2 linked regions of the Callithrix jacchus genome follow. The protein of the gene in region 1 binds, or shares a complex with, the protein of each later gene. Links are inferred from orthologs where the notes say so. Each region holds a gene or a part of one and is shown on either strand. Other genes may lie near its edges.

Region 1 (3,703 bases):
TGCAGATAATGCACTGACTGTGGGCCTCACTCCTGATTTCATACATTGCTCTGTTGTTTTGATTTTACAGGCTGTCTCACATCCATTGAATACTGTGACCGAGGACATGTACACCAACGGGTCTCCTGTCCCGGGTAGCCCTGCCCAGGTCAAGGGGCAGGAGGTGCGGAAAGTGCGACTCATACAGTTTGAGAAGGTCACAGAAGAGCCCATGGTAATCACTCATCATATTGTCGTCACGACTTATTCTCTGCCTTGTGAGTCCCTGGGCCAGAAGAGTCAATGCAGAAGGCTGCCCATGGAGTTATGGAATTGGCCAACTCCAGTACTGTCTCTTCATCCCCATCTCAAGTCCCTGTTCTAGTTGAGGACTATCCTGGGTATAAATGGAAAATACTTTTCCTGAGAAATTGCCATAAGTTCCTTCTAAAATAACCTCAGAAAGGGCTTAAAATAAAGCTTATTGTGCCATTGCCTTTATTTCAGGGAATCACTCTAAAGCTGAATGAAAAACAGTCCTGTACAGTGGCCAGAATTCTTCACGGCGGCATGATCCATAGACAAGGTACTCTGTGGGAGCTCTGGGGGGATTATTCAGGGATTAATCATTTACTCCGTGTTCAGTGGTGTGGGGCATGAAGTTTACAATCCTCCAGACTGGTAGCTCAATAACTGGCTCTGTGGAATCACTGCATGGTAAGATCTCTGTGTGAATTACCCAGTGCCACCATCTCTCTCGATATCTGAGTCTTCTTTCACACCTATTTACACCAATATTTTTCTAGTAAGTTAATACTTGAGCAATTGCCACATGCCACCCTTTCCATTAGACTTGGAAAGTACAGCAATACCATTTGGTAGCATTCTGGGGTTTGAGCTAAACAACAAAGAAACATGGAGCTTGCTGGTGACTGAGTACTTTGTTATTCTCTGTAGTATATATGTCTGTGTCATAGTCTGCAGTCAGTAGCCACAGTAGTTCCAGGAATTTGAGGCCAAGGAGGATGAGTGCTTGCCTTGATGCAGCAGCCCCTGGGGTATTCAAAAGGGCATTCCCATCTCTCCTGGTGGAAAGTTTTCAGTCCTGAGGATTTTACACGATGTTTTACAACATGCTCTAAATCCTGCTTTCTCTTCTATAGTATCTTAAGTTGCATTGACAGCTCCTGTTTGAAAACGTTTGTGCTTTTGTGGACTGATTTTTCATTTCATGGCAGGCTCCCTTCATGTGGGGGATGAGATCCTAGAAATCAATGGCACGAACGTGACTAATCATTCAGTGGATCAGCTGCAGAAGGCGATGGTGGGTATTCTCTATGCGAGATGAAGACCTTCCATTGTCTTCATGAGTGTTGATCCAAAGTATTTGTACCTTATTGAGGGCACTCTTTTCCCCTCTCGCCTTTATTCTGTGTAAGAATGATAATTTTCTGCCTTTATTTAGTAAACTTCTAAAGCAGAATAAGTAACCTGGAGCATCAGTCCGATATTCCATGAACTAATGCTAAATAAAGTAAAGCATATAGTAGAATCCGATTTTTGTTTAAAAAACATATGTATATGTATGTATAATGTATATAAATATTTGTGATGCTTTTATTGGTATGGGGAAAGGCGTGGATGTATATGCGCCACAGTTCATTTTTAGTAACTTCTTGGAGACTTTTTGGAGTCAAGAGTGGGGAGGAAAAGTCTTTTTTTTTTGAGAAGGAGTCTTGCTCTGTCACCCAGGCTGGAGTGCAATGATGCGATCTCAGCTCACTGCAACCTCTGTCTCCTGGATTCAAGTGATTGTCCTGCCTCAACCTCCCAATTTAGCTAGGATTACAGGTACCCACCATCACACCTGGCTAATTTTTGTATTTTTAGTAGAGACGTGTTTCACCCTGACCTCAGGTGATCCGCCCACCTCAGCCCCCAAAAGAACTGGGATTACAATAGGCGTGAGCCACCACGCTCAGCTCAGAAAAGTCTTACTTAGCTTTTCTTTGTTACTCTTTGTATGTCTTCATGATGTTATGCTGGTCTATGGGGCACATGACACTTTTGTATTAAAGGAGGAATTGTCCTACAAAATCTCAAAATGTAAAGATGGTTGTTGGGGAAAAAATCCTGGGACTTCGAGGAGGGAAATTACTTTATGAAACCTCAAATTATTAAACTTAGTTTTCTGTACAATTTTATGACTTTTTTCATAGAAAGAAACCAAAGGAATGATCTCATTAAAAGTAATTCCCAACCAGCAAAGCCGTCTTCCTGCACTACAGGTGGGTGGCACCATTTTCTCTGTTGTCATGATGGCAGAAGTTGGGCCATGTTGTCTTGTATTCTTTAAGATTTGATTATAAGGGATGCAAGTCTAACTTTTAAGTTTTAAATATGTCACAAGTGAGTAGCTGCTTGGCTCAGGGTTCCATTATACCCTGCCTGGTATTAATACAGGAGCTCATTCCCCTTTCCTCAAGGGAGAACACAGTGAAGACAGTAGTAGAGAATGAATGAGTCTTTGCTGCTAGTGATCAGATAGGAAGGAAGAGAGTAATCTTATTCTACAGATGGTAAGGAATCAATACAGCTCCAGGAGGAAAAGGGGTAAAGGGAATGAAGAGCTCATTCGCAGGAAGAAAACTACAAATGAGCATTGAGCATATGAAAAACTATTTTATTTTACCCATCATCAGAGAAATGCAAATTAAAATATGCATGAGACACCAATTTTCACCAAGCAAATTGGCAAATAATTTTTAAAATAGTAACAATAAAGCACCATGATTGACAGCAGCAAAGTAAATAAAGCACTTATTCAGAATTTGCTGAGGGTGTACCATGATATAAAGAGAAATGGTTCCCAGTTCACACACAGCTCATCAGCCAGTAGAGGAATAGATTGAACAGGGCCATGGCAAGTGTATAATTTTCTTAAGTCAACAAATTGAAGTTTTGGCATATGTGGGCATATATTCAACAAAGGGCATAAATCACAATTATAAAACTGGATGAATTTTCACAAACTGAGTACACCCATGCAACCAGCAGGCAGATCCAGAGACAGAACCCCCATGCATGTCTCCTGAAGGCCCACCGTAACCCTGACTTCTAATGGCAAGAATGACTTTTGCCCCTGTTTGAAATGTATTAACATTGAATTATACTGTATGAATTCTTTGGTGTCTCATTTTATTCACTCAGGATTATGTTTATGGGAATCATCGATATTGCTTCATTCTCATTCATTCATTGTATGAGCATGCTACAATTTATTCTGTCAGCTTTTTTGGTCTTACGTAGTGCTGCCATTAACCAAACAGGGTCTAGTTGAGCAATAGGTGAAGATTTACTGCCTGAAGGCCAATAAATTCACCACATTAATAGAAAAATGGAAAAAATCATATGATTTTTCTTCATGTGTTTGGTGCATACATCTATGCTTTTCTTTCGAGAGTACAATTGCCCGGCTGTACGATATGTATGTCTTCATCTTTAGGTGATATTACCAAATAGTATTCCAAAGTAGCTGAACCACGTTACATCCCCAACTACACAGTATGACTGTTCTGATTTGTTTTTTAGTTTTTGTGTTTTTGCACTTTGGCCGTTCTGATGGTGGTATCACATTGTGATTCTAATTTGTATTTCTCTAATGACATATGAAGGTAAACTACTTTTATACGTTTTTTCCACTTAGATATCTTCTTTTGTAAGA
Region 2 (4,328 bases), on another chromosome or scaffold:
ATAAACCCTACTTACTCATTGTCACAGGAAAACTGTGTTTGCTTTAAAAAATTAAATGAAGTTTGCACGCAGCCTAAATGCCCAGCAGAAGAGGAATTGGTTAAATAAAATACCAAGGTCATTCATATATTAATACAATTCTTACTATGCAGTCCTGGGAAGAATGGGCTAGTCTATATATGGTGTTGAGGTATCATGTTTAAGAGATATTCTGATGGAAAAGAACAAGATGAACTAAAATACATCAAATACATTTTATTATGCAAAATAAGAAATATTTGTATTGGCAAATTTACTTCTGGAAGGATTATTCTCGAGAAATAAAGCAATTGCTTTTGCGGTAGGGAGAAGGTGTCTTTCTCCTATTTTTAACTCTTTGTTCACTGTTAACTTTACTGTTTGTTTGGTTTTGTGTTTACGGCATGCTTGCTGGCCCTTTGCATGTCCTCAGTTACTGGAAGACGGTTTGGCTGCGGCCTCACACAGGCACTTGAGTCATAGAAGAGGCATGCTCCAACCTCTCACCCGCACTGAGGGGCCTTTTCCTAAGCATTGCAGAGGGGTTCATTTGTTCCCACCGCAAGTGCGTAGAATGCCTTGTACTTCCCACCCCTTTGCTCTCCAGGGAGCTCTGCAAGTCCCCAGAAATACTTGCCTAACTACAGGCACCCTTGGAAAGGTCCAGCTGCTGACTGCAAGCACCATGTGACTCCCAGTGCCAGTGACATCTGGAGGAATTGAGCAATGGCTGAGGTGGAATTTCATTTGATACTTAATGGAATCCTCTGCTTCTGCCAGAGGTGGTGAATTCTATATAAAGCTGCCAAACCTGGCCGTGTCTCCTCACTGAGCCTTGACCCCTTCCATCCAAGGTCAAGGTAAACGAATTGCTGTGCATGACTCACGCATAGTAACTGTGGCTTTGGGACTTAGTCCACCTGAGCAGAGCAAGCCTGCCTGGAGGAAGTGGGTCCTCTCCACTCTAACCTCTGGATCTAATGAGCAGCTACATAAACTGAGACAGGATATAGACACATCCTGCCTGAGTTAGCAGCAAGAAATAGCTGCCTCCCCCCACCCCCCTGCAGTTCCCACACAGCAGGGATCCTGCCATAAATCAATCGGAAGTCTAATGTGTAATAGCACGCCAGCAAGGGCTGCACCGCTGTATGTCTCCCAAGGTAAGTGTTGAAGGTCAGAAACCTGAGTCCTGGAGAACTGCTTGTGGGGCTAGGCTTGGCTGGGCACGGGGCGGGGGTCTAGCAAACCCATCCTCTTCAGACATGGGGATGTCTTTCAGTCTCACCTCCTCAGTGCCTAAATTGGAATAAGGACAGTGGCTTCTGTCCCTTTAACCCAGGCCCCGCCATATACACACACACAAATACATGCTCAAGTTAGACACATACGCAAACACACTAAAGCATGTGAACTCTGGAAACCACGTACAATTATATGAAGATGCCCGGCCTGGATCCAGCACTTAGGGTGTGTCCGTCTCTGTGTGGAGCCATTTATACACACTTCTTACTGCTAAGATGAGGACTCTCCTGGTATTATTCCTAATTTGCAGATGAGTAATCTGGAGCTAAGAGAGACTGCCTTGCTAAGAGGCAGTGCAGATGATCCCAGTGCACACTCAGGGGCCTTACTCCCAAGCACCTTTGATGTTCCTCACTCCCAGGCTGGCCCAAGCAGAACCATGGGCACACGCAGTGCTGCGTACACAAGTAGACTGAAGCCACGTTTATCCATGCCAAGCTCCGGCAGGGTGAGGGATGAGGCCTCACAGCCCTCTGGATTTCAAAGACTTCTAAGAGAGTTGGTGTCTCCAATACCCATATCGTTATCATGTTAGTAAGGTAACGTTATCACATGATAGGCTCAGGATAGCTCCTCTCTGACAGACTCTCAGGATCGGACGCCAGGATGAGGGATAACAGGGGCATGCATTCGGCTTTTTGGTTAAATAAAATGGTAGTTTTTATTGCAAAAGCCCAGTGGCAGAGGAAAAGGGCAGAGAGAGGCCCAGCAATGTTTCCAAGCACCTATAAAAACTTTCATCGCATTGGATTTCCCGTCAGCAAGAAAACGTGACGGTTTAAAAGAGAAAGAAAACAAGCAGCGAGGAATTACAAATCCCCAAAGGATTCAGGCCCGCGACTCTCCCGCGTTTGTGTGCCCCTGCGGCGCCCAGCGGAGCCAGCACGTCCCTGGGCAAGGCTGGAGTTGCCTGAAATTCACCCGGGCCCGCCCGCCAGCCTCAGGCTGGGCAGAAGCACAGACACAACTTGTGGACTCTTTCCTAACTGTTCTTTAGGGGGACGATTCTGGCCCTTGACACTTCACATGCCACGCACAAAGAAACACAAAGCCGGCGACGCGCCCTGGGCGAGCGGGCTGGAGGCCTCTCCAGCTCCGGGCGCGTGGACGCTGCGCGACGGTGTCCGGGACGCGGGACAGGGACAAGGCGCAGCCCAGGCGCCGGGAACAGGGGGCTGGAGTCGGGGATCTGAGCCCCGCGGGCGCCTCCTCCGCCGAGAGGCCGGGCACGGATCGGGACACCCGGGCGTACGTGGCAGCGGCTTGGCCCCCGGCTGCTTGCTGCGGGCCGCGGCCTCCCGCGGGCCCCCAGGACCCCTCCCCACGGCGGGTACTCACCGAGGTCGAGGGGCGGCGCCGTGCGGTTGGGGCTGCTCATGGCCCACGGTCCTGGGCGTCAGACCGGGCAGACGCAGCGGAGACCCGCCGGGCCGGGCCGAGGGAGGGTCGCGCTCCCGGGCTCCTGACCCTCAGCGACTAGAGGAAGCGGCCACTTGGGTCACACGCCTCCCGCGAGGGCTGAGGGGAGGGGCTCTGGCCCGGAGATAGGCAGACTTCATTTATTTTTTTTCTGCAGACTTGGCTGGTGGGGTTTCCACCCTTTTTTTTTTTTTTAAACACACACCCGCCCACTTCTGAACTCTTCTGTACTCCAACTTTCCTGCGCAAGAACCACGCTTTTCTAACCGTTTCTCTTTCCATCTGCCACTACCGGATACAGAGGTTGTGGTTGAGAAGTCCCCCTGGAGTGCAAGGAAAACTCCCTGATGTGAAATGATGGCCTGGCCCAACACTGTCGGGGATGGTGACCAAATAGGGCAGAACTGTGTTGAAATCTTGGCTGGCTGCGCCGCCGCTGGATAGCTGGGTGGCCTCTCTGAGCCTGCCGCGGGGCATTTGTCCCTGGGGAGAGTCCCTGTCTTGTTGGCCTTTGCGAGCCCTGTACCCATGGATGGCCTGTTTAGCAAAGATTATTCCAAAACAGGAAGAATTGCTGGGCAAGTGTCAGGTGATTTGTTCCCATTGCCTTTGTCTGAAGCTGCCAGAAGTAGTGGAGTTTGTGAATTTGTTCTACTTTTGACATGAAAACCTCCACATGGATTTCCATACATACCTTGGTTCGTTAAATGCAAGTCAACTGTCACCACCTACAAAAAATGTATCATAGCATTATCTGCCCATTTTGCCCAGGAATTTGAGGCCCTTGTTTTAAAACCCCGCCCAGGGGAACACCCTGTACTTCTCCTGTGTGACGTCTGAACCGTCCTGTGCTGCTTTTCATTGTTTACTTCATAGTTTCCCAAGCACTTCTGTGACTCCCTCCTCTCCTCTACCTTCTGCCATTAAGGCCTGTCCTGCACAATCTAGAGAGCCAGGCCAGCTGTCTGTACAATGTGTGAGCAGTGCCTTTGGGGCTGTGCTCTGTGTTGAATACGATGAGAGGCTGACCCCTAGAGATGTGCAGCGCAGAAGCTTTGCTCCCCTCTACGTGGGCTGCACAAGCTCCAGGCCTTCTTGCTGCAGTGGGAAAGCACTCACAATTCTCTTCTGTTAGGTCGTGAAGAACCCCCACTGCTTACAGATCTTTAGTCAAACTGCCATGTGCAGCACGGGCATGCTGATCTGAAGTAAACTACTCACAGAATGCCTTCGGCCTGGTGGGGAAGCCCTGAATCTTGATTTCCTCATGCATAAAATGGAGGCAAGATCACCTGCATGCCAGGGTTTTACAGAGGCAGTGATGGTAGAATCCCAGTGGGAACAGAAAAGGCATTTAATAAACTAACGAGCAACGATGACTTTAACAGTTTCATTTTTTTTTTTTGGTAATAGATACAATAATGTCTAGGTGGGACAATAGTCCTCCTCCCCTTCCTTCTAACTTTCCAATTGCATTTCACATAATTAAAGTTGTGAAATGTTATTTTCACAAATAATTAAAGTTATTTTCTCTTTAATTATGTGAAATGCAACTGGAGAATTGGACAGAGGCAGAAACTCCTTCC

Evidence for each region. Proteins that work in one complex are often made in the same cells at the same time.
Region 2: the proteins of MPP1 (region 1) and GYPC are in contact, whole or in part, in an NMR structure (PDB 2EJY), measured with the Homo sapiens proteins. The link is inferred for Callithrix jacchus from reciprocal best matches to the Homo sapiens genes MPP1 and GYPC. Residues at the interface, in NP_002427.1 of Homo sapiens: Pro81, Met82, Gly83, Ile84, Leu86, Lys87, Leu88, Leu100, Val130, Gln134; in NP_002092.1 of Homo sapiens: Arg123, Lys124, Glu125, Tyr126, Ile128.

Annotation. Positions count from the first base shown.
Region 1 is NC_133524.1:150,532,388-150,536,090, reverse strand, and holds part of MPP1 (55 kDa erythrocyte membrane protein), read left to right. Parts: intron 1-70; coding exon 71-214; intron 215-486; coding exon 487-565; intron 566-1,217; coding exon 1,218-1,303; intron 1,304-2,198; coding exon 2,199-2,267; intron 2,268-3,703. UniProt on the Homo sapiens protein: Essential regulator of neutrophil polarity. Regulates neutrophil polarization by regulating AKT1 phosphorylation through a mechanism that is independent of PIK3CG activity.
Region 2 is NC_133507.1:111,487,736-111,492,063, reverse strand, and holds the start of GYPC (glycophorin-C), read right to left. Parts: upstream 2,844-4,328; 5' UTR 2,702-2,843; coding exon 2,662-2,701; intron 1-2,661. UniProt on the Homo sapiens protein: This protein is a minor sialoglycoprotein in human erythrocyte membranes. The blood group Gerbich antigens and receptors for Plasmodium falciparum merozoites are most likely located within the extracellular domain.